Linked DNA regions of Diceros bicornis minor. Each later gene encodes a partner of the first gene's protein in a complex. Links are inferred from orthologs where the notes say so. Each region holds a gene or a part of one and is shown in the gene's direction. Other genes may lie near its edges. The genes, in order: POLR2E, TAF1C, POLR1C and GTF2E2.

Region 1 (7,809 bases):
CGCCCAGGACCCGCGGGGCCCCCGGCCCGCGCGCGCCCCCGCCCCGATGGCCCCCCACGGCTTCCCCGCCGGACGCCCCCCGCCCCGGTCACCGCGGCCGCGCGCCCGCCCCAACGGCCCTCGGGCCGGCCGCGGCGCCGAGCTCACCATGGCGCCGGCCAGGCCGGGCGCCGCCAGGACCCCGCACAGCAGCGCCGGCTTCAGCAGGCGGCTCAGGCGGCTCAGGCTCATCGCGGCGGCGGCGGGGGCGCTCGGACGCAGCGGCTCCTCCCCTCGCCGAGCCGGCCAATGGACGCGCGCCGGCGCGCCTCGCCTCCCCGCCCTCAGCCACGCCCACCAGCGCCCTCATTGGTCGGCCGCTCCTGCGCTGCGGGCACGTGGTGGCGCCAGCCAATGGGAACTCGGGGTGAGGGGCGGTCGGGGGCGGGGCCGGGGCGGGGCTGCGGCTTTGTTGCTGTGGGAGACTGCGCATGCTCGCCGCAGGGCAGGAGGGCGGGCGGCCGCGTCTACGCAGGCGGCGTGTGGGTGCGTAGCGGCCAGTTATCCGGGTGGCTGACCGCGGCGCCGCGGGATGCGCGACAACTTGAGATACCACTGGACACCGGGGGTGGAAGTGGCTCGAACTCGCAGAACAATCGCCCCAGCTCATTGAAAACTGCGGGTTTTCTTTTTAATGTAAATAAAATCACACTGGGAGTGGGGACGCCCGCCCCTCGGAGCTGCAGTGTCGCTGCGGGGGTGCCCCGCGAGGCCCGGGGGTCACCCCGGCGAGACCCCGGACGGAGGCTCCTGCCGCAGTGTCCACCCTTGGTGCGCAGCGGCCGGTGCGGCACCGTCCCGGGCACCGTGGCTTCAGCTGCTGCGCCAGGTGACAGGTGCGCCCTGGGGTCATTGAAACCGTCACCGTGTAACCGGGCACCTCGGGGCCCCGCCCCGGGGAGGTGGCACGAGGCACGCACAGGTGTGTGCTTACAACGAAACATACCCACGGGATTTCTTTCCATGTCTAAGCTTACGTAGCACAGGTGCGCACAGGGCCGCGTAGGGCCCCACGTTTCGGCTAGAAACTTGCTTATTTTCAGTCCAGGCTCAGAGCAGGGCAGAAAAAAAAGGGCCACCTCATTCCTGGGAACTGAGTCATGGGATCCGAAGCAGGCCGGGCCACCCCCGCCCCTCCGAGCCGTGACTGGACGTTGACCTGTGGACAGGCCCGCGGTTTCTGCTTCTGCGCTGCCTGTCCACGTTTCCCGTTCTCCCACGAACACTTCTGCAGAGGCCTTGGGGGCAGGACTCTCCTCGGGCTGGGGTCATTTGGGGGAGCCAATGAGCCCCCTCCCTCTGCCCTGGAGCCAGGCCTGCCAGAGGGCAGGGCAGGCACAGGATCCAGGATCCCCAGGGCTGGGTTGCTTCAATCCCCATCTTGCACAATAGTCTTCATGTGGCTCCTTCCCTCCAGCCTGGCCACCAGAGGCCAAGTTCTCAGGGTCGCCTCTTGGCAGGGAGCCCGCCCATTGTCTCAGCTGGGCCGCCTCCCTTCTCAGGGAGCCCCCCCTGCATTTCCTGCCCCTGGCAGCACTGGCCAGTCCATCTGGCCCTTGGGAAGACTCAGCTGTCTGCTGTTTGCTCCACTTGTGACCTACACCTTTATTATGAAGATGGCCACGGTCAGGGTTATATATTTCAGGCTTGCCAGAAAAACAGCTGCGGGGGAGGGGGAGTGATGGACCAAGCGTGGCACCCCATTCCTGACTGTGCCAGTTACGATAAGAGCAGAGGAGGAGAGGAGGAGCCCGCGGGGCGGGGCCGCGGGTCTCGGGTCAGGGAAGCGCCCCCGGCTCTGCTGAGCGTGTGTGCCTGGGGCTTCACAGCCTTTCCCACAGCGACCTCTTGCAAAGATAGGGAAATGGAGTTTTGGGGCCAGTTCCTGTGTGTCCCCAGTGAGGAAGCTGAGGTGCCCACCAGCCAGAGGCCTTTCCAGAGTGTCCACCAGCTCCAAGAAGGGCTGGTCTGGGCCTGTCCTGTAGCCTGGCTTCTGTAGAAAAAAATTTTTTTTAATGGAGACAAAATCCACATAAAATTCATCATTTTAAACGCTTTGAAGTGTACATTTTAGTGGTTTTTAATATATTTATGTTGTGCAACCATCACCACTAATTCCAGAATATTCTTATCACCTCAAAAGAAACCCTGTCCCCATCAACAGTTACCCCCCCATCCTCCCTGGCCCCTGACAACCATGAACCCACTCTCTGTCTGTGGGTGCGCCTGTTCTGGACATTTCACATCAGTGGAATCACACACCGTGTGTCCTTCCGTGTCTGGTTCTCTCACTGAGCGTCGTGTGTTCAAGGTCCATCCACGGTGTGGCTGTGTCAGGGCCTCACTCCTCTTCATGGCTGCGTCATATTCCAGTGTGTGGGTGGAGCATATTTTGGTATTTTGTTTCTTCATTCACCTGTCGATGGCCACTTGGGTTGTTTCCTCCTTTAGGCTTGTAACGCTGTACAAGTTTTTGTGTGGGCATGTTTTCATTTCTCCGGGGAATGCACCTGGGAGCAGAATTGCTGGGTCACAGGGCAACTCTGTGTTTAACTGTTTGAGGAGCTGCCAGACTGCTTTCCGCCAGTCAGCTGGGCCATTTTACCTTCCCACCCACGAGTGTGTGGATGGTAGCCTGATTTCTGGGCCTCAGGCTCCACCAGGGCCGCATGGTGAGGGGTGCGAAGGAGCAGGATGCCACTCTGTGTCCTGGTGCTGAGGCCACAGGGTCACTGGCAGGACTCAGAATCATTGGCCTTGTGGTTGGGCTCTGCCAGCATCTGGGGGTCCCGAGGCCCAGCTGCTCCCCATGAGCCCTTTCTCCTCTGTCTTCCCTGCTCTGAGGAACAGCAAGACTACCTAACGTCCACACATCCAGCCCACAGCTGCCCGCACCTGGGCCCTCCGCCTGTCACCGTCCAGGCCGCCCCCTCCTTGAAGGCCCAGCCTCGATGGCCCTGTCGAGGCTCCAGCGGGTCTGCCCCCTCCCCCTGCCCAGATCTGCCCATCATTCCAGCAACCTCAGTGCCCTTTCTCCGTCTTAAAACCCAGTCCTGATCCTCTTCTCCGTCTTCCGCCCCTCTGCTCCCCTGGGCATCTACATCCACATCTCCAATTCCTTTGCTCCTGTAACCCCCCCGGGCAGGCCCCCTCCTTGGATCTGCCCTCCTCATGGTCACCAACTTGGCACTCCCGCTTGGCACAAGCGTCCCCATCCTCAGGCCTGCTCGACTTGGAAGTGGGTGCTCTGCTCGTCCAGGTTCTACAATGCAGTGGGGGAGGGAGATACCCTCTGCCGCCGCGGTTTCCTTCCCTCCGCCCCTCCTGGCCCCTGAACTTCAGTGAGGCTCGGCCATCTGCTCTGCTTGGTGACCTCCTCCAGGCTCCGGGCTCCCATCTCCACCGACCTCACCCTGAATTCCAGACTCATATCTCACCCCCTCCCCACCTTCTCCCATGGGGGTCCCACGAGAGCCCCAAGTTCACCACCTCCAGGACCCCCTCCCACACTGCCCCCTGCACCTGGCCCCTCCAGAGTCTTCCCACCCCGTCAGGGCAGCTCCCTCCTCCCTCCCTCTCTCATCTCCACGTCCCGCCCATCTGCACGTCCTGTAGGCATTGCTGTCAGAACACCCAGAACCTGCCCACTGCTCACCCCACCCTAGCGGGAGCCACCCCCATCCCTGGCCAGGACTCGCTCCTCAGCCCCCTCCCTGCTCTCCCTGCCTCTGCCCTGCTGAAACGCTGAGAATGGCTGAAAAGAAAACCCAACTTTTGAACCTGACCAACAAGGCCTCCTGGGACCTGCCTGGCCTCACCCTCTGACCTCCTCTCCTACCCCTGCCCCGCATTGGCCTCTTTGCTGCCAACTCATCAGGCAAGGTCCAGCCTCAGGGCCTTTGCACCGGCTGTAACCTCACCTGACACACCTTCCTCCAGACATCCCCAGGGCTCCCTCCCTCTCCTCCTGTGATCTGGACTCTCCTCCTCCCCTCCCCTGACCATCCCTCTGCAGACTGCAAACCTCCCAGCTCCCGTAGCCTGCTCTCTCTCTTCTTCTGCAGCATTGTCACCTTCTAACATACTTTGTCACTTATTTATTATGAGACAGGCACAGTCAGGAGTAGGGCACTGTGGGATATCTGAGACCCGGGGCTTGGGGACAGGACAGGGGAAGACCGAGATGGGAGCACTTCATAAGCACCAGGAGCTATGCCAAGCTCCTCCCAAACACAACCATCCCTTCCGATTCTCTGCTAACCCTCTACAATGGGCACTTTATTATTTCCATTGTACAGACGGGAAAACTGAGGCTAGGGGGCGTTAAGTTGCACGTGGGCCAGAGCCAACTGAGAGACGGCCCTACAGTTGGATGCATAAATATTTATAGAGCTCTTCCTAGGCCGCCCGACTGTCCCTAGGAGGCAAGCAGACCCCTGCCCCCCTGCAGGCCTCAGTTTCCCCGCGCACACCTCGTTTCTGCCTGTTGAGATTCTAAACCGCCGCCCCAAGCGGGCGTCGAACGGAAACTACAACTCCCGAGAGGCTTTGCGGTCAGAGCTACGCGAGAACTTCCGAGGTGCTGGTGGGAGGAGCCCTGCGCACGCCTCTCGCGCAGCCAACGGCCGCTCGCGGAAGGCTCGGGCTGCCCTTGGCGCTGCCGGTCCCGAAGGTCGCTGTAGTGAGGCGTCCGCTGGCGACAGCCCTGCACGGGGCGGATGAGGGGGCCCTGACCGGGGCTCGGCGCAGGCGCAGTGGGCGCGGGTCCCGTCAAGCGCACGCGCAGTGAGTGCGAGCGGCGGCGGCCATGGACGACGAGGAGGAGACGTACCGGCTGTGGAAGATCCGCAAGACCATCATGCAGGTGAGCGGCGCGTGCGGCGCCCCGCTTGGCGGACGCGGGGAGGGCGGGCCTCGCTGGTCCGGGCGAGCCGGGCGCGCGGCGGTCCGGGGGGCGGGCGGCGAGCGCACGGCCCGGAGCGGGGACGAGCCTCCCCCACGCCCGCCCGAGCGGCTGGAGCCGAGGGGTCGGCAGGCGGGGCCCCCGAGGCTGCAGCGGGCGGGGTCTGTGGGGACGAAGGGACTCCGGGGGCAGGGGCCTGCGGGGGCCGGGGGACCCCACAGGGGCCAGCAGCCGAGTCGAGAGTCCGAGCGGCCCCGGGGGCGGGGTCTGCGGGGATGGGGGGACCCCATAGCGGCCAGCGGCCCGGTGGCCGGGGTCTGCGGGGACTGGATGACCCCACACGGGCCAGCGGCCGAGTCGAGAGTCCGAACGGCCCCGGGGGCGGGGTCTGCGGGAATGGGGGGACCCCATAGCGGCCAGCGGCCCGGTGGCCGGGGTCTGCGGGGACTGGATGACCCCACACGGGCCAGCGGCCGAGTCGAGAGTCCGAGCGGCCCCGGGGGCGGGGTCTGCGGGGATGGGGGGACCCCATAGCGGCCAGCGGCCCGGTGGCCGGGGTCTGCGGGGACTGGATGACCCCACACGGGCCAGCGGCCGAGTCGAGAGTCCGAGCGGCCCCGGGGGCGGGGTCTGCGGGGATGGGGGGACCCCATAGCGGCCAGCGGCCCGGTGGCCGGGGTCTGCGGGGACGGGACGACCCCACAGGGGCCAGCGGCCGAGTCGAGAGTCCGAGCGGCCCCGGGGGCGCGGTCTGCGGAGACTTTTGCTGTCTCTCCGGGCCGAGATCTCCCTCGAGTTGGAGAGGGGGAACGGCAGACACTGGGTGTCCCGCTTATTGATGTTTTTGGAAGGCGGAGCACCACCCCGCGTGCCTAGCTCAGAATGCCAGAATCGTGGGCTGGGAAGATACTCTGGTCAGCTGGCCTGAGGTGCCGTCCTGCGAGGATGTCCGTCTCTGATCTCTCGGTTTGGTGGCTGCTTTTGCGCCTCGGCCACCAACTTGGACTTCCTGGGGCTGGTCGGAGTGGAGTGACACTAGCCAGCTGGTTGAGCAGTCACTGTTTGTCACTTGCTTTAAGCCGTCCTGTGGGAAGGGACCAGTGTGACCCTCAGAGGCCCGGTGGGGCATGGCCTTGACCAAGACCGCCCAGCTTCTCTACTGCTTTGCAAAGTGACCCCAGAGACAGGGGCTGAAACAACTGTGCTTCAGGCTGACAGCGTTGGGGACCCTGAGAGAGCAGACATGAGGGCTCAGGAGGCAGAATCGGGCTGTGGGGACTTCACGGAGGAGATGGGGTGGGAAGCTCTGACTTTCCTGTTATCCATCTTTGTCCTCTTCTAGTTGACCCCAGTCAAAGAGCCCACACGCTCAGGCCTTCACCCAGTTTCTGAGCTGGAGTTGCCTGGCCAGCCCAGCAACGCCCCTCTCACCCAGCTGTCTCCATCTGCCCCAGACCCCAGGGCCCAACTCTGCCGCTGCTTCCCACTCAGGGCCTCTCCCCGAGGCTGGGGATAAGACGATGACGCACACGATTACCTGGAGCAGCTCGGGGCTCTCAAGTGCCCCGTGGTCTTTGTCTCCACTCGTCCCTTCTCCCTTTTCTGGCCTCTACGCACACCCACTGCACCAGGCCCCACACTGCCCACGGCGCCCTCTGCAGCGGCCTCGTCCGGCCCCACCTCTTTCTGTTATGCCTTCTCTGCCCTGGGGTCACTTGACTCTTTCTGTCTGCAGCTGTGCCACGACCGTGGCTACCTGGTGACCCAGGACGAGCTGGACCAGACGCTGGAGGAGTTCAAGGCCCAGTTCGGGGACAAGCCGAGTGAAGGGCGGCCGCGGCGCACGGACCTCACCGTGCTGGTGGCCCACAATGACGACCCCACCGACCAGATGTTCGTCTTCTTCCCAGGTGAGGGCTTTGCCGGTCCCTGGCAGCCGTGTGTCCGCGAGGGGTCATGGTTCTGGTGGAGCCATCTGAGGGCCTGCTGTGTGGCCCAGAGTCCACACTGGGCCTTGTCTTTCTGGGAAGAAAATCCCCCTCGCCCTCCTTATTGGGAGGGTGGTGCCGTTGATCTCTGAACCCTCTCAGTGCCTTGTCTAGCTTCGGTCTCCTTGGTCCCCTTCCTTGTTCTCTTCTCCTTGGCTGTTTTCTCTGCCCAGGATTATCACAGGCCTTTAGCTGGGCCCCCGGCCCCTCCTGACCTCAGATCCACCCGTGTCCTCTGCCCCCACCCCGTCAGCCCCGCCTGCTGCTCCCTGAGGCTCCTTCCTGCCCTTGTCCCTGCCGATCCCCCTCACCACACCGTTCCTCTTCGCCCTGCCTGGTCGGTGTCCATCATCGTCCCTAGAGACCCAGCTCAGGTGCCGTCTCCTCCAGGACCCTCTCTGAGCCCGGGCTGAGTGAAGAGCCCCCCGAGGGGTGTCCCAGGACCCCCGCGTTCCTGTCTCTGCGCCTGCTGCACTCAGGCAGCCTGGCTCTGAAGCCTGCCAGAGTTGGGCCACGCTGGGGCGTGAGCACCTTGGGGGCGCTGGAGTCAAGGGAGTGGGCAGAAAATGTTTGCAGAACAGACCCAGGTGGCGCTAAGAACGGTGTCCCCCGTGTGGAGACGTGTTTACTGGGGACAGTGAGGCCTGATCACCCGCCTCCCCAGACCCTGCCTGGGGGCCGGGCTGCCCTGGAGTTGGGGGTCTCTCTCTACTTCCTGGTCTTTGGTGACGTTGGGGGCGTCCTGCTTCTCTCGGACGTGCCTCGGGGCAGAGTTGAGGCTCCCACCTGTGTTGCTTAGCTGGGGCCGCGCCAACGAAACACTGCGGGCTGGGACTTAGCAGACGTGTGTTCTCTCCCAGGGCTGGAGGCCGGAGGTCC
Region 2 (7,656 bases), on another chromosome or scaffold:
GTCTGGGCCCAGGCTGGCTGGGGGCCGCCTGGGGCTGGGCCCGGGGCTGATCTGTAAAGACGCTGCCAGGCGGGGCTTCCTGCGGCCGCTGTCGTCCGAGCCCGGGGCCGCACTCGCCGCTGAAGCCATGACAAGACGCGAGGACCCCCAAGGGACAAGAGGCAGGTTCTCACGCCACCCCTGCTCTTTTATACGCCCTGCTGGGTCCGCGTGAGGAGCACGCGGCGCAGCCGACAGCACCCGGCGAGCTCCGCCCCACTTCACTGCTGACCAATGAGAGCCCACAGAGCTGTGGCGGACAGTGCGCCCAGCCAATGGGAAGGACAGTCTGCCGAACAGCAGCAGCCCGGATGTAGACGGTATGGCCGCCTGGCCAACAGCCCACTGCCGGGTCGGGGGGTTGGGCGAAGGACCAGGTCGCTCCTGTCAGCCTCTTATCTGCCCTAGCGAACGGAAGGCCAGGGAAGGAGGTTTGCGGGCCCGGGTCCAGCACCTCACCCTTGCTCCCGTTCTAGGCCACCCCAAACCGCACCCCATCACGCCAGCCCACCCCTAGCCGCTTGAGCCTGGGGGTCCTCATTAGGTAAATGAGAGTGTTCTCAAATGTAGCGGCCCCACAGAATCTCTAGGCTCTACATTTGAAAACTGTTCACTGTAGCCTTCCTGAAGCCAACCGGAAGTGCTCTCGAGCCAAGTTAGCCATTTGGCACTCTGCCCCCCTTTTTTCCTGTCAGGAGGGATTTTGAGTAACTACCACAAGACAGCTATTCTTTAAGATGAGAGACTAGGGATGAAGGAGAAATAACAAAAATAAGATGAAGTTACGGATGAAGACAGTTTACATATGGCCTGCTATGATGCAACACAATTGCTGGAAGGGGGCAGAAAATGTAACTGCGTCTTGTAGGAGCCAGTTCCCCGGGAAAACATGACCGATACTCAGTTCACAGTCTGTAAGACTCGTCACCTTTGTTGCTGCTGCTGCTGCTGATTGCTACCTTTGGGTCTGACAATGCTGACCAGGATTGTGGCAGTGTGGATACTGGAGTGTTTGAGGACGGGTTGGTGGAACTGGGGACATTTGATTTGGGAAGAGCAGGTGTGGGGGACAGAGTAGATTCAATCTCCCGAATGTTTCAGAATTGACATCAGAAAGAACAAGCCTGTTCTTTTCATGTGTAGCCCAGCCAGAGAGCAAAATTAGGCCTAGTAGATGGAACACAGTTGGTGTTCAGAAATGGAATGATGGCTGCACACATCCATAAAGAGACTTTAACAGAGTCCACAAACCCAGAAACTTCACCAACAGGAACTTGCATGAACAAGAGGTGATATATTCGTACAGGAGACTATTAGTAATAAAAAGAAACAAAATACTGTTACATGCACAAAATGAGTGAATCTCATAGGCATATTGAGTGAAAGAAGCCAGACTAAAAAGACTATTTTCTGCCTGATTCTATTTATATAAAGTCTTGAACCGGCAAAATTAATCTCTGGTGATGAGTCAGAATCATGGTTGCTTTCTGAAGGGGGTATTGACTGGGAAGCGGCACCAGGAAATTTTCTGGAGTGATGAAAATGTTCTCTGCCTTGATCTAGGTGGTGGTTATGTGGGTTTATATGTATGTAAAAACTTGATAAGGTGTACACTTAAGACTTCTGCATTTTACTGCATGTTAAGTATACATCAGTAACGAAAGGAAACCAAACAGCTTGTTTAGAGAAAGGAAGGAAGAAATGAAATTGGCCTCCCAGCCCAGAAGCTGGATGGGTGTCTCCTGGGGTGATGGGGAATAGTGGTGTGGTGGGAAAAATAATGGTCCCCCAAAGATATCCATGTCCTGATCCCCACAGCCTATGAATATGTTACATCATGTGGCAAGGGGGTATTATGGTTGCAGATGGAGTTAAGTTTTCTAATCAGCTGAGTTTAAGACAGGGAGATTATCCTGGATCACCTGGGTGGGCCCAGTGTAATCACAAGTGTCCTTAAATGGGCTAGAGGGAGACTGAAGATCAGAATCCGAGAGATGACAGCATGAGAAAGACTCAGCTGGCCATTGCTGGCTTTGAAGATGGAAGGGGGCCACAAGCTGAGGAAGGCAGGCAGCTTTTAGAAGCTGGAAAAGGCAAAGAAATGGATTTTCCCCTAGTGCCTCCAGAACGGAACACAGCCCTAGTGACGCCTTGATTTTAGCCCAGTGAGACCCATTTAAGGCTTCTGACCTCCAGAACTGTATGATATTGTGTTCTTTTAAGCCACTAAGTTTGTGGTAATTTGTTATAGCAGCAATAGGAAACTAATATAAATGGTCTTCAATTTCTTTTGCATACATACTTCTAAAATAATTTTGAAAAATTATATATCACTAATTTTTTAGTCACAAGCTTAAATAGTTACAAAAGATGTAATTTCTGATTTATTATATAGTATAATCATACTTTCAATATATTTTCACCAAAACCATGGAGAGGCGGACTTAGCTTATTCCATTTATGAAAAATGCTCTCCAGGGGCTGGCCCTGTGGCCTAGCGGTTACGTGCGCGCACTCCGCTGCTGGAGTCCCGGGTTCGGATCCCGGGCTCGCACTGATGCACCACTTGTCAGGCCATGCTGTGGCGGCATCCCATATAACGTGGAGGAGGATGGGCATGGATGTTAGCCCAGGGCCAGTCTTCCTCAGCAAAAAAAAAAAAAAAGAAGAAGAAGAGGATTGGCATGGATGTTACTCAGGGCTGATCTTTCTTACAAAAAAAAAAAACAAGAAAAGAAAAACGCTCTCCATGTGCCCTAATTGGCAAAGCCTACCATCGTAGTCAAACCTATCAGCTAAACCAGAATTTTCCTATCAGAAACAGTCTGACTTCATTTTTTCAATTTAAATAAATGTGTTGATATTTTCTCAGAGGAACCATGTCATTTTGTTCCCTCTTCCATTGATTCGATATTTATCGAGTATCTACTTTTCTAGTTGTTTGGGATACATTAGTGACCTACACAGAGAGAAGAATTCCTGCCTTCATAGAGTGACTTCTGAATTCTATTTCTGAGGTAGATAGCTGAAAAGGCATGGAGTCTAACCAAGAGGCTGAAGTCTCAATGAGATCAAGTGTCACAACCAGCAGTATTTTCCTCTTTTTTTCTTTTCTGTTTTAAAAAGACTACTGAAATATTACATCCATACCAAAAAGCATACAGATCATTCAATGAATTTTCACACACTGAACACACTCGTGTAACCAGCACTCAGATGAAGAAACATAATATTGTCAGCCCCCAAAAGCCCCGCCCCCCGCACCCTTCTATCATTACTCCTTACTGAGCCTGTTTTTCTTGGTCTTATAGGGACTCTCTCCTATAGGAACTCTGCTTTTTGGAATCGCCCCTTTGTTCAGCATCCTTCTCAGGCAATACTCCATAGTGGGGAAAAAAGTGATTGTGAAAAAGGAGATGCGAAAGGAGAACCATCTGATTCCGAGCACCTCCCAGATAAAAACCATATACATAGAAGCTGAGAACTTGGAAATTGATTCTTTAAAGTAATGGTTCTCAAAGTGTGGTCTCTGGACCCCCAGCATCAGCATCACCTGGGGACTCATTAGAAATGCAGATTCTTGGATCACATCCCAGATCTACTGAATCAGCAGCTCTGGAGGTGGGGCCCAGTGAACTGTTTTAACAAGCCCTCTAGGGGATTCTGATGCACGCTGAAGTCTAGAACTGCTGGGTTAGGATAACGGTATGATTTATGATTGCACAGTTGTTCTTAAAGTGTGACCCCTCCAGACAAGCAGAATCAGCATCACCTGGGAACTTAGGAAGGCAAATTATCAGGCCCCACCCCAGACTCACTGAATGGGAAACTCTGTGTTTTCTTTTTTTTGAGGAAGATCAGCCCTGAGTTAACATCCATGCCAAGCCTCCTCTTTTTGCTGAGGAAGACCAGCTCTGAGCTAACATCTATTGCCAATCCTCCTCCTTTTTTTTCCCCCAAAGCCCCAGCAGATAGTTGTATGTGATAGTTGCACATCCTTCTAGTTGCTGTATGTGGGATGTGGCCTCAGCGTGGCCGGACAAATGGTGCGTAGGTGCGCACCCAGGATCCGAATCCAGGCCACCAGTAGCAGAGTGCACGCACGCAACCGCTAAGCCACAGGGCGGGCTCCAGAAACTCTGTGTTTTTACACGCCCTCCAGGTGATGCTGATGCCCGCTGGAATTTCAGAACCAATGCCTAAAGCTATACTCGCCTGGCCACTGGGAAAACTTCATGCGCTCCCAGGGGTACCTGTACATCTATTTGTAAAGCCCGCTTCATAGGCTATAATGACAATCAATAGGATTCCTACTGACTCATACAGTGCCTGGCTCATCATACGTGCTCAGTAAGTGTTTGTTGAGTGAATTAATTTAATACTCACAGCAATCCTGTGAAATAGGAACTTAGTTAAGCAGAGGTGGGATTCGAATCCCGGTCAACCTATCCTTCACTTTTGGGACTTGACGAGGCTTGATTTCTACTGCCCGCGACGCAGCCTCCATTCCCATTCCCCCTCCGCCCGGGAGGTGGCGCTCTAGGGCGACCATGGGGCCAGGCTGGGAGGCGGGACTTCCTGTCTTCGAGGGAGCACTTCCGGCCCGGCCGGGAAGACTGTTCATCGCTGCTGTGGGGGCCGCCTTCTGAGGGCGCCGGGGCTAGGGGGCCGCTCTCGGGCTTCTTCGCGGCACGGGGGTCCGGCGAGCGGCGCGCGGAGGTCCATTTCCCAGACGAGCACGGCGAGGCCCGGGCCACGTAAGTGCGCGCGCCGTCGGACGGGAGGGAGTGGAGGGTCCCCCTGCTCAGGTCCATGGGCCCCGAGCTGCGTGGCTTTGGGACAAGTCGCCCAACATCTGCAAAGCGGCTTATTAGCAGCCCCCAGCTCATGGAGTGATGAGGAGCCTACAGATGTGAAGCGTGGTAGCCGCTGCCTGGCACACAAAGCTTGATGCGAGGCCTCTGCTGTTGCCGGGTTGAAATTCTGGGGCCTGGGGTTGGAGTGGGAGGAGGTGGATGGGGAGGACGCGGCCCAGTAGTTGTGTGAGGGGAGGGAACACCCGGATCCCCTCTCCCAACCCTTGCGACAGGCTCGCTTTTTGTCATGCCCAGCCTGGCATTAGTGCAGACCCGACTGACTTCTGCAGCCTTGGAGGTGTAAAGGGGCCTGGCGAGCCGAGGGCGAAGGCGGGAAACGGAGGCTGCCTTGTCTAAGGGCCTTTCTGAGGTCGTGGGCTCGCCCAGCGCCCTCAGCCTGCCTGGGTTTGTTTGAGGCTGTTTGGTTCCTTTCTTCTCTCATTCATTCATTCCCGGATTTGCTTTTTCAGTTTATATGTACTGATTGTTACCATGTAGCGAATACCAAGGTCCTGGGGGTATATAAAGTCTCTTTCCCGTGGGGACTGTTAGAGCGGTTTTGAATCAAACAGTTGCATCTTTAAATATGTAATGACACATTGCAGTGCGTGCTCTGGAGGAAGCATGCAGGCTGTGGTGGGAGGATAGGGTTGGGGGAACGGGGAGAGGCTTCCCTGACTTGAAATCTGAAGGATGAGTAGGATTTTGAGGTGGTAGGAAGGGCGCTCGCATTCCTTGTAGGTGGAGAGAGAGTGTGCAAAGGCCCTGTGGTGAAAAGAAGTATGGTGAGGAGGAATCCAAAGGAGGTCAGTGTGATTGGAGCCCAGGCACAACAGACGAGCTGGAGACGTACGTGTGTGTGCGCGCGCACGCGCGCGTGTGCGCGTGTGTGCATCTCTGACTTATCAGGGGTGCGGCCACCTTGGGAGGCTGGGGTGCCCCTTAACTGCAGTCGGTACAGCCAGTCCTGTGGAAGCCGGCGTTTTCACAAGGATTCATTGATCACCACCTTGGTTCCTGGCACTGTCCTCTTCTGTCGTGGAGAAGGGAATAGCAGCAGCAGCCAGACACCAGGAGCTCAGGAATGAAGCAGATACAGTGGCTGCCCGCGGAGAGCTCTCAGTGTAGTGGAGAAGATAAGACTGTGCATGTGAACCACAATTAGAATGAGGCTGACATGCCGTGAGAAACACGTATTCATCATTTAACAAGTATTGACTGTGTGATGGGGGCACTTTGCGTGATGGTGAGGGTACACGGATGTGTGGAGGTTACAGAATAAGCTGATAGGATGCCGCAGGAGCGCCAAAGGAAAGCATTTCTGCTTACTAAGGCTCTAAAGCTCGGGTTTGCTTTTGGATGCACGGGAGAGCGGTGGTTCAGACCTCGGACTTGGAATCAGAATCCAGCCGTTGGCCTTGGGCAGGCTGCTCTCTCCTGAGCCTCAGTCTCCTGGACTCCAAAGGAGAATAAAGCATGTGGTACCATGGCTGCAGATGCTGGTGCTCAGTAAGTGAGCACCACTGTCATTTTTGTGGTTAATAAAAAAGAGGGATGCTATGGCTGCTTATGCTTCTAGAGCACTTTGTATTTACCAAAGCCCTTTGGGCTAAATTTAGTTTTATTCAATACAGTCAGTGCATTTTTGGAAGGTATGTACTTGACAGTGGGAAGACAGACAAATAAGACTCAGTCCCTGGCTTTGGGGGAACTAGAGTTAGTCTTGGGAGTGTAGCCTGGGACGTAGGGCCTGTAGTCTTCAAATGTGTAATTATAATATGTAGAGCTTATTGGAAGCTGACCCCTCGCCACCTGTCTAACTTCATCCCCTACCCCTCTGCTCCTGTTCATTCTGTGGCCTCCTGGTGCTTTCTCAAGCACTTCCTGCCCCAGGACTTTTACACTTGTTGTTCATTCTGCCAGGAACCCTATTTCCATGGTCTTCATGGTTCTGTCCCTCATTAGGTTCAGGCTGTGCCAAACCTGCCCCTCTTGATGAGGCCTTCCCTGGCTACCATTGCTAAAACCACACCCTCAGCACATTGCCATTCCCTCCCTCCCGGTTGGTTGATTGGTTTTAATATAGCACTTATTACTATCTGGCATTAGGTTGTATATTCATTTGTTCTTTATTATCTGCTTCCCCAAAGAGAAAGTATACCCCTCTTACGACACTTTTCACTCTCCCAGGAACCCTCAAAGCCACTGTCAGATGCAGGTCTCTGAGAAGACCAGTGTGACGCATGGCTCTTGTTTTCTAGGATGGACTTCCCCGGCTCCCTCCGCCCCACGTTGTTTAGGACCGGCCTCCTTGGTCTGAGCAATGTCCCTGACATGTCCTTCATGTGCAGCTGGAGAGACGCACTGACCCTGCCAGAGTCCCTGCCCCAGAACTCTGAGGTGAGGATGGTGGGGAGAGCCCTGGCGGCTCCAGGGTGGGCACCTTCACTTGGTCCCCTTTTCTAGCAGGAGCACAGAGTGGGGTGGCTTTAGCATAAGTCTGCTAAGACTCAGCCAGAATCCCCTTCTTTGGGGTACGTGGGGCGCCCTACCATCCGCAGAGGGTTTAGTGAGCGGGAGCTGTTGGCTTGCTCTTTCCTACCTCCCCCTCCCCCGGCCTTTCATTCCTCTGTTTGTTCAGTGAATACTCATTGCACAGCCCTGTGCTGTGTCAGGCACCTTCCTAGGCCGGGGGCACCCAGCGTGAATAAGTCAGATGTGACCCCTGCCCCCGTGGAACTGAGAGTTAAGTTGAGTGAGA
Region 3 (6,829 bases), on another chromosome or scaffold:
TCCGAAGTGAGCAGTGTGGAGATGACACTCCTCCCTGGAGCAGAACCATCTTTGGGCTCCTCCCTCCCATTGAGAGCCCTTTGTGGGGTTCTGCCCGAGCTCTGGGCTGTTTAACCCAACTCCCTGAGAGGACAGCCCACCTCTGGACACCTCTTGCCCAGCTTACCATGCGCAGGGTGGACAGCCCCCCCACCAGCAGCCAGAAGAGGTAGAAGAGGGCGTGGAGGTGGATGTTATAGGTGATGAACAGGACGATGCAGTGCCCAAAGAGGCCGTAGCCCTAGGAAGGAGGATGGTGGAGAGGAAAATCACTCAGGTTGGGCTGGCCTAGACCCTCATGGGGACCCTGACAAAGAAGTGGTCCACTGGCCAGCTCACCCCACTCCATGCCCTGGGGCCCCAAGACAGATGCAGACCAAGGCCTAGCTACTCTTTTAAGATCACCCTTGCCCACCACCATGCGGGACTCCTTACCAGCAGTGCCAGCATCTGCAGCATGGTGATCTGGGCATTGCACAGGTAGGCGAGGAAGTAAATGAAGGACGAGACACCCAGCCAGTAGCCGAAGCAGGTGCCAATGGCTGTGCCCATCAGGGTGCCCTCCCGCTGTGGGATGAATGCTCTACTTAGTCCTGGGAGGCCTCTGGTCTCAGCCTCCCCCAGGGCCTTCCTCAGAGGCTGCTGCTACCTCACTCCACCATCGTCTCCTTGGGCAGCTTTCAACTCAGTTCAGCCACCCCCCAAAGTCCTCTGTCCTGCTTACGATAATGGTGTCAGATGTCTTCATCCCGTGGAGGAGGATGGCAACCAGCGTGAAGACCAGCATGAGAGGTCCATAGAGCTCACCTGCGATTTTCTGTCAATATACCAACTCACTCAGGCTGGAGAGTACAATGGCCCTTCTGTTGATGCCTTCCCATGCTTTGCCTGGTGGCCCCACCCTCTGCCCTAGTGCCTCCCCGGGCTCTTCCAGACATGCTACCCCCTATTCACCTGGGGGAAGTTGACCATCTTGATAGGGATCATGGACTCCAGGAGCCTGGGAGAGGAGAGGAGAGATGAGAGCAGAGGCAGCACTAGGCTATGAGGTTCTGGAGGGCCTGAATCTTATTCATCTCTCTAACTCCAGAGAACATGCTGGATGGTAAAGGGAGAAGAGAACAGTAAAGATGGACAAGGAATGAGGGAATCACTTCCTTGCCCCTAAAAATGCTTCCAGGAAGGACAACCCTCCGATGCCGTGCTGACTGATGCAACAGCAAAATGGAGAACTCAGCCCAGCTGGGCCTCAGGAGAAGGCATGATCATTTACCTATTTGACCTGCTCCCCTTTAAAAGACAGGCAAACCCCAGGGGAGAATGCCCAGAATTCAGGGCTGTGAAGGTGAAGCCCTGGGAGAGGTTTACAAGGAAAGGTTTTACTTGAGGGAGCCAGTGTGCCTCCTGCCTCTTCCCGCTTACCATTTCTCCAGGCACTGCTGAGCATGTTCTTTAAAATATAGCTAAGTGGTAAAAACGTCCAGGCAAAAGGAAGAAAAAGTACAAGTCACTCCCTCACCCTCTTCTTAAGCGGGTAGCTCCTAATAATACCTTGGATTCTGGCTAGATTTTACTTCCTTTGGCAAACCTGCCTTGTCCCACCCTCCAGCCTACTCTGGGTCCAGGTGATCCTCCCGTGTGCCCCATCATAGCACATGAGTGCTGTATTGTAACTGCACTTGAGGGCAAGGCTCTCATCCATCTTTACCACTGAATCAGACATAACTACTAAAGTGCCGGGCACAGAGCAAGTGCTTCATAAAGCCTTGCGGAGTGGTACTGGGTATTTGATAAGCATTGGTTACATTAATGGGTAAACAAAGAACCAAGCCAAGATTAAATCCAGTTCTTGAAAAGTCATTCAACAACTATGCACTGATGTTCTGGTTCAGAGACTGTTGTGGTGCTGGGAATAAAAAAATAAAACAGAGCCTGCTTTTGAGGTGGAATCTGGGGACACAGACACAGGAATAAGAAAGTACAGCTTGGCTGAAATTTTATCTGCTAGAGGAAAGCAGAAAGATCTATAGGACCACTAGGAGAGGACAAAAAGGATGGGGATGAGGAATGGAGAACAAAGGAAGTGACATCTGAGCTAGGTTTTGAGGGAAGATGAGTAGTTTGCTAGATGGAGAAGAGGAAAAAGGCAATGCGTTATCCCCATGTCCTGTTCTATGACGGGTAAGAGGTATGGTGTGGCTGGGCACAGGTGCAATGATGAGGCCTGCGGGGGTCATGAAGAGGGGAGCTTAAGACTTGGTATCTGGTTGTGGTTTGGATGAAGGACTAGGTGTTAAGAGGGCAGCTTCTGTCAGGAGAAGAATCCTCACCTGCTTCGCACCTGGGCAGGCTCCACATCAAAGTAGGGTCTCAGGATGTCGATGTTGGCGTACAAGCTGAAGGCCCTGGAGGCTTGTCTCTTTCCTGCCTGCCACATCTGAAGTAAGGAAGACGGGGGTGGGGTGGGTGGGTATTGTGAGACTCTTGGCTCTAGGCCTTGTAGCTTATTTTCTGTTGGATTTCTACATGGTTCTAACTGGACAATCTGGGGTGAACTTCAACACCAACTCCAGAACCTGGGGCCTGCTTAGGTATACTTTTCCACCTGCCAGGGATCCACTCTTGCTTACCTGATCAGCCACCTGCCTGCTCAGCTGTCCCTTAAAGCCCTTCATGCCCAGGAACTCCCCATCCTCTTCTTCAGCAGCAGCTGCATCAGCATCTACTTCTTCCTCGCGCAGGCGCTGATGCAGCTCACCCATGTCCTCGAAGCTGGAACCTGAGGTATCATCCATGTTCTCCATGTCAATCACAGCCGAGCCCCCACCCTGTGAAGACAATGGCTCCTAGAGTGCAGGACCTTTCTGCTCCATCCATTAAGTCCTCCTCTGTTCATCCCAGGGTTTGGGGCCTTGTTCTGTCACTGCTGGGGATATGGCTTGGAATCACCACAGATCATGCCACTATCTTCCCCTGTTTTGCTCTCAGAACGCTTGGTTGGTTGGCTCTCTTCTTGCCTGGGAAACCTACTCCCTGTCTTCCATACCTGTCTTTGTCCTATCTTCCCTATCAAAGCCTCAAAGGGCTCCAAAAGTGTCCATTTCCTTTGTCTTTCCCAACCCCTAAACGAGGCTGCGTACACAGTATGGTTTTAGCCAGCGCCAGTGGACCCCGACCGACCTCCTAATTGTTCCGAAAGAGCGGGCGAGCCCAGAGATCTGAGGCCCTCCGGCTGGAGTACCAGTCTGGACCTTTCAGGTCAGCACTAGCCCCACTGCCTTTCGTGTGCACGAAGACCCAAAGGAGAGCAAAAGGGCTGCAAATGGAGCAGACGTCCAGGCTCCGAGGGAGGGTCCCCACGACACTTCAGGACGGCTGCCGGCCCTGGGGCTGCTAGCAGTCGGAGCCTTGGGGCCATTACCTGGATGTTTTCTTCGAACCCTCCCCATTCTGGGCCAGCCCCGTTTCGGGCGCCCCCGGCCGGCGCCGCCGTAGTTGCCATGGCCCTCGAGAGCCCCCGTCGCTGAAGCCCGCGCTGGCACCGAGCGCGGAGTAGTGGGAGAGACGTGGGACTGACGGAGGGAGATGTCCAGGGACGAGAGAGAGAGAGGTGGGACCCACCGGAACGCAAAAGAGACGAACCCGGATGTTTGGCCAAGACTGACTGCCGGAAGTTGGGGACGTGGACGGAGGCGGGGCAGAATCTCGCGATATTTAAGATTCCAGGAGGTGGTGCGTTGCCACGGAGACGGAGGAGGGCGACTAGAACGCACGCGTCAGTTTGCTGCTCTAGTCACGTGCAGAGGTTGAAGATGGCGGCGGCGCAGGCGGTGGAAGAAATGCGGAGCCGCGTGGTTCTAGGGGAGTTCGGGGTTCGCAATGTAAGCCTTGTGCCCTTGACCTCGGGAGGAGAAATGAGAGCGAGACAGGGATGAGTTTGGATCGATGTGGGGACAGACTTGGGCTCGCTGCCCCTTCGCAGCAGACTCGTCTCTTTGCCCTAGGTTCATACCACCGACTTTCCCGGTAACTATTCCGGCTATGATGATGCCTGGGACCAGGACCGCTTCGAGAAGGTGGGTGGGGCCGGAGAGGGTATGAGGAACGGACCGTGTGATGTGAGCAGCCCCTCCCTTACAAGGTGCCCTTGGGGGTTCGCTCCGTTCATGAAACGTTTATTGAGCAGTGTGCTAGGCACTCCGTGTGCACGGTTTCTGCCCTCTTTTGCGAACAAGAAGTTCAGTCTTGTTGGAAAAGAGCGCGCGTAAACAAATGATTCCAGTATGATGTGGTAAAAGCGGTGAATAGCAGTAAGGAAGACTGCGGGTGGGGTGAGGGGTATCCCACAGAGGCACTTAATCTAGAATGGGAAAGGGGGCAGAGGTATGAATGATTTCCTTCCTGAAGGAGATGACATCTGAATTGAGCTTTAAACGGTGAGTGGAAGCTGACGACAGCGAAGGGTGAGGAAGGACTAAGAACAGAAGCTGAATTATAAAGGCCTTTGTGAGCTGTGCTCCGGGTATGTCCAAGCAGTTAATTATTGCTAGAATGTAAAGCGGGCCGGCGTGCATAGGAATAAGGAGCTTTTGAAGAGCTCTTAAGTAGAGCTGATAAGATTTGCAACTTTAATGGTTGGGAGAGAATGAATCTGAGGATCATCATATGGGGCAGGCAGATTTGTGATAGAATTGTATAGGGAGCTGAGGTTGAAGGCATGAACTAAGATTATCATCACGGAAATAGAGCAAAGGAGAGAGAGAAGGTGAGTTTGGTGATTGCTTTGATATGGGCCGTGAGGGGGAGCGTGAGATGATCTAGCTCGGGGAACTGCTTTGATGGATGGTGGTGTCCTTTACTGATGAGAAATGGGTCTGGGGGAGGGGAATGATGATGCGTTCCGTTTCCTGCATGTGGAGAAGTCTAGAAGGCTAGTAGAATATATGTTTGAAATAAGATCAGAAGTGAGATATAATGTGAGGAGTTGTTAGTACAGATAGTTGCTAAAACCATGAGTGTGGTCAGGTCACTCTGGAGAGAGACAAAAACCTGGGAAATAGTAACATTTATGGGGTGGGTGGAAGATAGTGAATTTAGGATTCATCAGAAAAAGAAGGAAGAGAACCAGAAGACTGGTGCTCAGAAATCAAGGCAGTAGTTTGAAAAGAGGGAGATTCTAGCAACAATGCCAAATGCAGCAGAGGAGTCTAGTAAGATAAGGGTTAAGTAGTGTCACATGGAAGCCTGTTCTTTAGTAGAATAGCCTCCGTGGATGGACTGGCTGGAAGCCATATGGCAGAGGGTTTTAAATGAATGAAAGGTAAAAACAGGAAGACTTTTCAAGAAACTAATAAAGGATTGGAGGAGAAAGGAACATCTAATGAGGGACATCTGGGCCAAGGGAGGTTTTTGGATGAGAGAGAATGTTAAAACGTTGAGAGGAAGATCCAGAGGGTAGGTACCTTGTTCTATAGAGAACAGACTTCATTTAGTGCTTTTCCTGTCCTTTTAGAATTTCCGTGTGGATGTGGTACACATGGATGAAAACTCATTGGAGTTTGACATGGTGGGAATCGACGCAGCCATAGCCAATGCTTTTCGACGCATTCTGTTAGCCGAGGTATTGGTGGGCATGGTGGCAAGGGTGGACTTGTGAGGGGAAACGGTGCCATGGCCTCGCTTGGAGAATTATCTCAAGCCACCCCTCCTCTTTATTTTTCCTGTAATATTGCTGAGCATTTCTCCTCATTCTTTGAAAACTTTTTATCAAGCATTCTTCTAGGAAGAGGTCTCTCCCATCTCCCTATGTCAGGAGGCAGGGAGTAGATGGGGAGTCTATAAGATCTTTGTAGATGATTCTTATTTCTTGGGCAGGTGCCAACCATGGCTGTGGAAAAGGTCCTGGTGTACAACAACACGTCCATTGTCCAGGATGAGATCCTCGCTCATCGCTTGGGGCTCATTCCCATTCATGCTGATCCCCGTCTTTTTGAATATCGGAACCAAGGTGAGTGTTTGAGAAAGTGAAATTTTGGGAAAAGGCAAGCAGTTTGCCTGTGAAGTAGATTCTGGAATCAGACTGCCTGTGTTCAAATCCTGGATTGACTACTGCATGACCTTGGGCAAGTTACTCATTTTTTGGTACATCAGTTGTTACCTGTGAGAACACTTGCCCTTGCCTTCCTCAGTTTGTCAAGAGGATTAAATGAGAAATGTAAACAACGCACTCAGTATGGTGTCTAGCACTCAAACGTTGACTAGTTCTTTAAGAGCTGCCACCTCCCCCCTTTCTGCAGGAGATGAAGAAGGCACAGAGATAGATACTCTGCAGTTTCGGCTGCAAGTCAGGTGTACTCGGAACCCCCATGCTGCTAAAGATTCCTCTGACCCCAATGAACTCTATGTAAACCACAAAGGTGAGGAGTGGTAGGGTGAGGGAGAAGGCCCACCTGTTGGTGGGTGCTAGTTTTAGGGACTGAGGTCTTCTGATGTGCTTCTCCCCGCAGTGTACACCAGGCACATGACATGGGTGCCCCTGGGAAACCAGGCTGACCTCTTCCCGGAGGGCACTATCCGACCAGTGCATGATGATATCCTCATTGCTCAGCTGCGGCCTGGCCAGGAGATTGACTTGCTCATGCACTGTGTCAAAGGCATTGGTAAGAACTGTATGGGCTGCCCTGGGCAGGAGGGCAGTTCAGTTACAGTGGGGCCACGTGTGACTGAGGTACTCTGCTGAGGTGTCCCTGACAGGCAGAAAGCCAGTGGGCCTTTGCTGTTAGTGGCTTAG
Region 4 (7,844 bases), on another chromosome or scaffold:
AGGCAACTGAGAAGAAGCAGATACAAGAAAAGCTTTCCATCCTCCCCGTTTGCCTGAAAGTAGGACATAAATTTGTAAAGGTGTCTGCCCTCTTCTCTTTACCAGGAAGGATAAAAGTTAATCACTGGAGACAACTTGAGACCCTTATCAGCCCGAAGATGGTACCAGAGGAATCTACATGACAAACTTTACTACCCAGCCCTTATCTTCCATTAGTTTCTTCATATAGTTGCCTTTGCACAATTTACCATCCTAGAAACTCAAAGTCCTTTTCACTCAAAGTCTTGTCACTTCTCTATAAATTTATCGTTCTTTTGTCAATATGTTATATAAGCCCAAGTTCTCATCAGCCCTTTGAGTTACTCATCACTAGATACTCCGGTGTGTGTGTGTGTGTGTGTGTGTGTGTGTGATGCATATGTTAATAAACTTCTGCTTGTTTTTCTCTTGATAATCTGTCTTTTGCTAGTTTAATTATAGGGCCCCAGCCTGAGAACCTAAAACGAGTAGAGGCAAAAAATATTTTTTTCCTCCCTTACGGGATGAATGCTTGAGAAGGAAGCAGGGTCCTGGGAAGATATTTTCAGGATTAGGCAGGCTGAGTCAGAAGGCAGGGGAAAAGTCTCTAAGGGAGCAGAGACTGTTAATGCTAGAGAAATCCAGGACAGATGATGAACAAAGTACTTACTTTAGTTCTTGATTTGTGCGGATGTGAGCTAATTTGCCTCGTCAGCTATTTTGAGATTTAGGTACCTATTTAGTTAGTTGAGATGGATTAACAGGTAAGGCGAGTTGAAAGGCACTTACTATTTGATGGCAGAATGAAGTAAATTTTTTTATCTTACCTCAATTTTCCTCTTTAAAACTACTACATAATGTAAAAAATTAAAATGTAAAATTAAGCCACTACGTAAAAAAGAAGGAAGTTCTGATACATGCTTCAACATGGATGAACTTTGAAAACATCATGTCAAGTGAAATAAGCCTGACACAAAAAGACAAATATTGTATTATTCTACTTATATAAAATATCTAGAATTAAGGCAAATTCCTAGAGATAGAAAGAAGATTAGAAGTTACCAGGGGCTGGGGGGAGGAGGTGGGAATGCAGAGTTGTTGCTTAATTGGTGCAGAGTTTCTGTTTTGGGTGATGAAAATTTTGGAAATAGATAGTGATGATTGTACAACATTGTGAATGTAATTAATGCCACTGAGTAGTACACTTTAAAATGGTTGAAATGGCAAATTTTATGTTATATATATTTTACCACAATTAAAACAGTAAAAAAAATTAATCCACTAAATTGGAATTAATCCTGTGGTTACATTGAGTTGTTTTTTTTGAGGTGGGAGGGTTTGGATAGGTCAGGACAGAAGAATATTTTATAATATATACAAATTATATTTCCCTGAAGAAGCCACATTACTTTCTACCAAAGAGTATGCAGGATATTATAAGCATTCATGCGACAAGACAGATTGCTATTGCATTAGTAGCTTGAATCATTCTTTATATAATTTCATGCTAGCCACACCCTTCTGACCTAGAAATACTGAGGCTGCAAATATGTAGGTGGTTTTAATTATTATAAAGGTTTATTTAAGCATCAATGGTGGAGACTTTGTGTATATTACACAAATAGCCATGTCCCTCACCTCCGAGTGGGATATTTTTCCTATGCTTTCCCTAAGCCCTAGCTAGAGGCTGCCTCAGACGCAATCCAGATGATGTCTTTTTTTTTTTTTGTGAGGAAGATTGGCCCTGAGCTAACATCTGCCAATTCTCCTCTTTTTGCTGAGGAAGACTGGCCCTGGGCTAACATCCGTGCCCATCTTCCTCCACTTTACATGGGACGCCGCCACAGCATGGCTTGTCAAGCGGTGCGTCTGTGCGCACCTGGGATCCGAACCGGTGAACCCCAGGCCATCCCAGTGGAGCGCGCACACTTAACCGCTTGCGCCACGGGCCGACCCCCAGATGATGTCTTTATTGTGTAACAAGGATGAGAAGGCAGAATAAAAATCCATATGTTTAACCCCAATCTTGAATTCTCTGAAATCAAGCTAATTTGGGCTGACATTTGGAAATGGTCAAGTTGGTCATTGTCGTAGTCAACATTGTCAGCAGACAAAGAGAATCCTTTTTTAGTTCATTAGTGTGGTGTCCATGTGTAAGTACCTCTGACACAAAAATGGCCTGATTATGGCGATATACGGAGCCCACTTTTGTCTTCAGTTGAGGAGTACCTTCAGAGTACAGGCTATCACCCAAAAGTGTTTTGAATGAATGCAGTCATTGCTTTTAGTGTTAGGACTTAGTCACAGGCCATAGGCACTGTGAACAGGAGTGATTTCAGTGGTTGACAACATTCAACGTCTATATACTTTAATGGTTTGCTAGCACGTGTATGGGAGGGTTTCAAGTTTGGCAATGATAGTAATAACAGCTAAGATTTGGGTAAAGGATGGGCAACTGAGATGGGGGTTTGGATTATGAATAACATATTCTAATATTGGCATTAGAAGGCTTAGCTGTGTTCAATATCTGTCCCAACTGGCTGAAATGAGACAAGCCATTGAAATAAAAGAATAATTATGAGCATTCTTTAAAAGTAAACAATGAATCCATTAGACTGAGATGGCTCTAGTGCCTTGGTAGCCTACATAAACAAACTGAAACCTATGCCAGAGTCAATAGACCAGAAGCGAAGGAAACGAAACTTAAGAACAACTAATTACAAACAGCCAACTAGGCTTTCCCAAATAAGGCCATGACTTAAGCTACAGCCAATCAAAGACTTTCTTTGATTTGCTTCGGAGTCTTCTCTATAAAAACCTCTCCCCTAGCTCCTGTCAGTGGAGAGCTCCTAAACATTTTTGGTTTTGGGCTTCCCCAATTTGAACTGATGTTTTCTCAAATAAGATATTCAAAATTTTAATGTACCTCTGTTTTTTTAACAGTTCATTAAGTGCTTTCCATGTGGTAGATCTAGTTCTGCAAAAGCCTGATTCTCTAATTGTGAAACTCATAATTCTCAAGTGACTAGGAAATGAGCATGTGTTAAAGTTTTATTTAACACAAATGGAAATAAATGAAGACCACTCAAATGAGAATAGAGACTACAGAGCTTGCTATAGCAAGGGAGTCAGCCACCATTACTTGTGTTTGGCAGAAACTCAAACTCAATCAGGGAACTGGGAAGTTTTATAGACTAAAAAAAAAGGATGCTTCTGGTACGTTCTGATTAAAGGTTGTTGGCAGAGGAAGCTGGAGGTGGAGTAACTAGAAGTGGGGCATCTGTGTGATTGGTTTGGGGAGTGTATTTGTTTTTCTCTGGTGATCTTGTGGGGGGGGTGTATGTGTTGGGGGGTGGGGGCTAAAATAGGGAAGTTGGCAGCCTTTGAGCAAATCCTGACCATTCTGAGCTGATTGCTGCAGAGGTTGTGTCTTGGTTTCTTATGTGGGTCAGAGTTTTATCATCACATATAATCTAGCCATTGTCTATTTGTATATTAAGTCTCTCACTCATTAATAAGGGAGCCAGCAGAATGATAGAACTAATTCCATGAGGATATGAGAAACTGGAGTTTATATAATCATTGAGGAAAGGAACTATGAAATAAAAATTAATGAATTGATACAACACTGACTCATTTCTCAGGACAACGCAATTTTAACCTTTGGGATTATTTTTTGTACTGGATACCTGCTCCTGCTCCTTCTCCTCATTACACCTCATCAGTTTTTTTTTTTTACCAGTTAATCTCTGATTATAGTGGGCTGTAAAACATTTGGGCCTTAATAAACTGTTATTCAAAAGAAGTTAAATTTCCTAACGGTGTCAGATGATTATCAAGTGGGTTTATTACAAAATCCTAGAATGAAACTAACTTTAAAAAGCCACACAATCAATCATCTTTTGGCTTTATTTCCAAGTTTTGAATAAAAATTCATCTATTATCTCATTTAATCTTCACAACAGTCCAATTCAAGTAACCCACTGTGATAGTACAATTATTCCAACTTCCCAGATGAGAAAACCAAGACACAGGTTAAGTAACTTGAGGAGTAATCAGCACTAATTAATTAAACGACAGCTACAGAATAGTTGAGCATTGGCTATGCTGCTGTTTTAAGTTATAAAAGTGAGGAAAGGTCAGCCGTGGGAAATCTGACGCACTCCAATTCACTGCAGGCTGTGGCAAGGCCAATTATCTTTTTCGTCACTTTATTTCTACCCCTTTACGTTGCTTCTGAACCCGAAATGCTTTTTCTAAGAGAGTTCACAGATGTGTGGTTGGGAGTTCAGAAACGGCTTCACGTCAGGATTTGTCTTCGCTAGCTACGCTGTCACGAGCAAGTCATTTAGCTTCACGGGGCCTCCTGCTTTCTCACTTGTAAAAGAGCGCTGGAACAACGTGCTTTGAAATTTAGGTGCTGGTGAGTGGCATTTGATGTCACAAAACACCTGGTAGACAATAACTTGAAAAATCGCGTCGCTACTTGGGTAAACAGATTCCAGAGCACGCTGGAGGAGGATCTAGTAGGTCTAAATTTCTGTAAAAGAAAGATTTCTTCCATCTTAGCGGCCGCTCCTCGCCTCCTACCTCTGCCCGGCTCTCCGCCCCGCCCCCAGCCACCTTCGCGTTGTCAAGGAGACCCGGGACGCCCCAGCTGGCTGAGCCCTCTCCCGCGGTATCCCTAGCGGGGCACGTGATGACGCACGCGCGCTCTCGGCGGCGGAGGCGTCGCGGTGGCTGCCGGGACTGAGCTCCTAGCAGCTTGCTCAGGAAGTGGCGGGCGGAGCCCCGGGCCGAGTCGCCGCCTCAGCCACCGCCGCCGCCGCTGCCAGTGCCGAGACCCCGAGCTGGCGGGGCAGCGCTGGGCGTGCGTGCGGGCAGGCGGGGGCGCTGACGAGGAGCAGGAAGCGGTGGCCAAGCCGGCGTGGGCGGCTGGTCCGGGCGGAGGCGCGGGGAGGCGGCGGCGGGGCGCGTGGGGCGGCCCTTCTGGCTCAGGTAGGGGCTGTGGCGGCCGGGTGAGGGGCGCGGAGCCCCGGCCTGTTGTTCCTCGGGACGCCGACCCCCGCGGGGCGAGCGTCTCTCCCACCCCTCGGGAGGCTGGGGCCGCCGTGCCCTACGCGAAACACCTACACACGGCAACAACTTCTTGGGAGCATTGTCTTTTAGGCTGGAGATTCATGGAGCAAACTTTTGGGTTGGAAAGAGGGAAATCGACAGTCCGATAGCTGACTGTGCCTCTTCCTGGCCCTCAGTTTACATTAGCAGGAGCCGAGCGAACCCTGTGTGTGGAGTGTGGGGAACCACGGTGTCCCACCAACTCAAGGCTGTGATTTAGATGCTCCTTCACGGACTATATTTTTAAAGCTGCCTTGTAATGATTCCTAAACTTTGGTTATAATAGTTGTTTTCTGCGGTCTAAAGACGTGTTCTAAAACAAAAAGGTTGCGTCTACCGCTACATTTCTGTCATTTCGGAGGTGAGCAGTCTCTTTTCTCATCTGGCCAGCTGCTCATAGCAGGGGTCTTAGGTGCCACGGGCCCCTCTGGGAAAGAAGCAAAAGAGAGGAAAAGTAGGAAGGTTGAAAGAACTCGAATGATGTAGTGGAAAGAACGTGGGCTTCGGAGCCAGAAGATTCTGATGTAAGTTTTGGCTTCTCCATGTGCATCCGTGGAGGAACACGTGCACTCATTGAGTTGTGGCGGTGGTATTTTTTTAATGTAAATTGGCAGAGTGGTGTGGCCTGTTTACTACACAAGTCAGTGCATGTAAAGCACTACGAATACTGAGTAGTCTTCTGAGAAAAAAGGAGGAAAAGTTAGGCGGAGCATGCGGTGGTGACAGACAGACATGAAGCCTTCTGCGATGGGTGCCATTCAACGGTACCTGTCCTGCACAGGTCGCCTTTGTTGGAGAGGCCTTTCCCTTTACCAGCATTTCAGGTCTGGAGTATGGAGCACTTGAGTTACGAGTCAGGATATTCGGGTCTTGGTCCAGGTACTTCCAGCTCTGTGACCTTAACTTTACCTCTTCACTTCAGATTTCACATATTAAAATAGGAATAAAACTAGTACCTATTATCTCGTAGAGTTGTGAGGATCAAATGCTGTAAGGATTTAGATCTTTGTGAACCATAAGCCTCTTATTTAAATGTGTTAAAATCGTGATTAAAAGCCTGGATCGATTACCTGTCTTTACAAGGTGAAATAAACAGATACAGATGTTTCCTGTTTTAGGCTTGTTGCCCCCACCTCATCACTTGTGAATTCTCTTATTCTCACACTTTCCCTCCCCCATCTCTTACTGTCGGCACCCCAGTATAATATCATTCTGTTATTTTTCAGATGCAATTCAAAATAGTAATATTGAAATAACATGTATTTGTATAGCTTTACTATTTAAAAAGTTGCTTTCACAAACATTTTCTCGTTTTAGTCTTACAGTTGGGCTAAATGTAGACAGCATTGGTAGTATCCTCACTTTACTTATAAAAAAAATTGGATTTAGAGAGGTCTAGTGGATTGCCTTTGGTCAGTTGCTGTTGGGGTTAGAACTGAGGGGAGAAGGCAGGTCTTTCATTCGAGGTCCAGTGCCAGTGACTCTTCCTTACTTAACTGAAGTTTACTCTGATTATTTCTTACCAGTGCTTATGTTTTTAACTTTTGGCACTCTAAGTCACATTTTATTTATCCATGCTTTTTAAGCGAGGTGCTCAATGTGTTCGTGTTCTCAAATGTAAGCTGCTTGAAGACAAGGGTTTATTTTCCAGAACCTTTCAAAGCTTGGAGTACAGTGCCTCACAAACAGAAGACATTTTGTAAAGGCTTGTGAAACCAATAACAATGAGGCCAGAGCAATTTAAAGATGTTTTTGTGTTCATTGTTCATTTAACAAATATTGAACTACCCTGTGCTGGAAGGCTTTCAAAGTATTAGTCTTTTTCCTCTAGGACCTTCCTTCCCAATTTATGAACACTAGTTTTAACAGTGCAAATGTAATTTAAATAGTCAGCTTGTACACTTCCTGGACTCTCCACAGGGTTCTAGAGAGAGTTCAGACAAGAGAGGAACATTAAAAAATTTTTGTTAAATTACCTGTGGCTTCCCTGGTTGTGCTGAAGTTGCTTAGAATTGGAGTTTTAGAACTGGGAAAAAAACTCGAAGAGGTCTAGCTCCACCTCTCTCCAAATCGGGAATTTTCTGTAGATATTTCTAACAAATATTAGTCCAGCCTCTTCATCACTTAACAATAGAGAGTTCACTAGTTTTAAAATACACCTTGTCATTTATAAGCAATTATGATGGTACTCTCTTTTTTTTTTTTTTTTTTGCAATGAGTATAAATCTGCCTCCTAATTTCTGCCTGGTAGTCCTGATGTTATTTCTAGAGCAGCGTTGTCCAATAGAAACATAACGCGAGCTGCAAGTGTGAGCCACACACGTAATTTAAAATTTTCTAGTAGCCGTATATCTTTTAAAAGTATAAGAAAATTAGGGGAAATTAATGTTTTATTTAACCCGGTATATTCAGAATATTATCATGTCAGCATGTAATCAGTCTAAAATATCTCATTAGTAATTTTAAAAGTTCTTTTTTTTGTACTAAGTCTTTTAAATCTGATGTATTTTACACTTAGAGTACATCTCAAATCCAGCCCCATTTCAGGTGCTTAATAGGCACATGTGGCCATTGACTGCCATGTTGGGCAGTGCAGTTCTCGAGCTTTAGAGAATAATTCTGTTTCTCTTTACTAGTGCCTAGTAAAGTGCTTGGCACATAATAGGCTCTAATTAAAGATTTTTTGAGTGAATGAGTAAGTGAATAAA

Evidence for each region.
Region 2: POLR2E (region 1) and TAF1C share a complex: the UniProt entries of both Homo sapiens proteins name them as parts of the pol I pre-initiation complex. The link is inferred for Diceros bicornis minor from reciprocal best matches to the Homo sapiens genes POLR2E and TAF1C.
Region 3: POLR2E (region 1) and POLR1C share a complex: the UniProt entries of both Homo sapiens proteins name them as parts of the pol I pre-initiation complex. The link is inferred for Diceros bicornis minor from reciprocal best matches to the Homo sapiens genes POLR2E and POLR1C.
Region 4: POLR2E (region 1) and GTF2E2 share a complex: the UniProt entries of both Homo sapiens proteins name them as parts of the TBP-based Pol II pre-initiation complex. The link is inferred for Diceros bicornis minor from reciprocal best matches to the Homo sapiens genes POLR2E and GTF2E2.

What each region holds. Positions count from the first base shown.
Region 1 is NW_026691553.1:615,378-623,186, reverse strand, and holds the start of POLR2E (DNA-directed RNA polymerases I, II, and III subunit RPABC1), read left to right. Parts: upstream 1-4,795; 5' UTR 4,796-4,846; coding exon 4,847-4,903; intron 4,904-6,677; coding exon 6,678-6,852; intron 6,853-7,809. UniProt on the Homo sapiens protein: DNA-dependent RNA polymerase catalyzes the transcription of DNA into RNA using the four ribonucleoside triphosphates as substrates.
Region 2 is NC_080771.1:33,271,686-33,279,341, reverse strand, and holds the start of TAF1C (TATA box-binding protein-associated factor RNA polymerase I subunit C), read left to right. Parts: upstream 1-4,648; 5' UTR 4,649-4,796; intron 4,797-7,156; 5' UTR 7,157-7,157; coding exon 7,158-7,295; intron 7,296-7,656. Other genes in the region: ADAD2 (adenosine deaminase domain-containing protein 2), read right to left, coding at 1-129. UniProt on the Homo sapiens protein: Component of the transcription factor SL1/TIF-IB complex, which is involved in the assembly of the PIC (pre-initiation complex) during RNA polymerase I-dependent transcription.
Region 3 is NC_080753.1:22,256,448-22,263,276, reverse strand, and holds the start of POLR1C (DNA-directed RNA polymerases I and III subunit RPAC1), read left to right. Parts: upstream 1-3,828; 5' UTR 3,829-3,851; coding exon 3,852-3,920; intron 3,921-4,043; coding exon 4,044-4,115; intron 4,116-4,402; exon of another isoform or gene 4,403-4,804; intron 4,805-5,551; coding exon 5,552-5,659; intron 5,660-5,913; coding exon 5,914-6,046; intron 6,047-6,335; coding exon 6,336-6,455; intron 6,456-6,545; coding exon 6,546-6,698; intron 6,699-6,829. Other genes in the region: protein YIPF3, read right to left, coding at 167-280, 475-606, 764-856, 994-1,039, 2,370-2,476, 2,670-2,867, 3,461-3,541. UniProt on the Homo sapiens protein: DNA-dependent RNA polymerase catalyzes the transcription of DNA into RNA using the four ribonucleoside triphosphates as substrates.
Region 4 is NC_080768.1:28,325,910-28,333,753, reverse strand, and holds the start of GTF2E2 (transcription initiation factor IIE subunit beta), read left to right. Parts: upstream 1-4,844; 5' UTR 4,845-5,016; intron 5,017-7,844. UniProt on the Homo sapiens protein: Recruits TFIIH to the initiation complex and stimulates the RNA polymerase II C-terminal domain kinase and DNA-dependent ATPase activities of TFIIH. Both TFIIH and TFIIE are required for promoter clearance by RNA polymerase.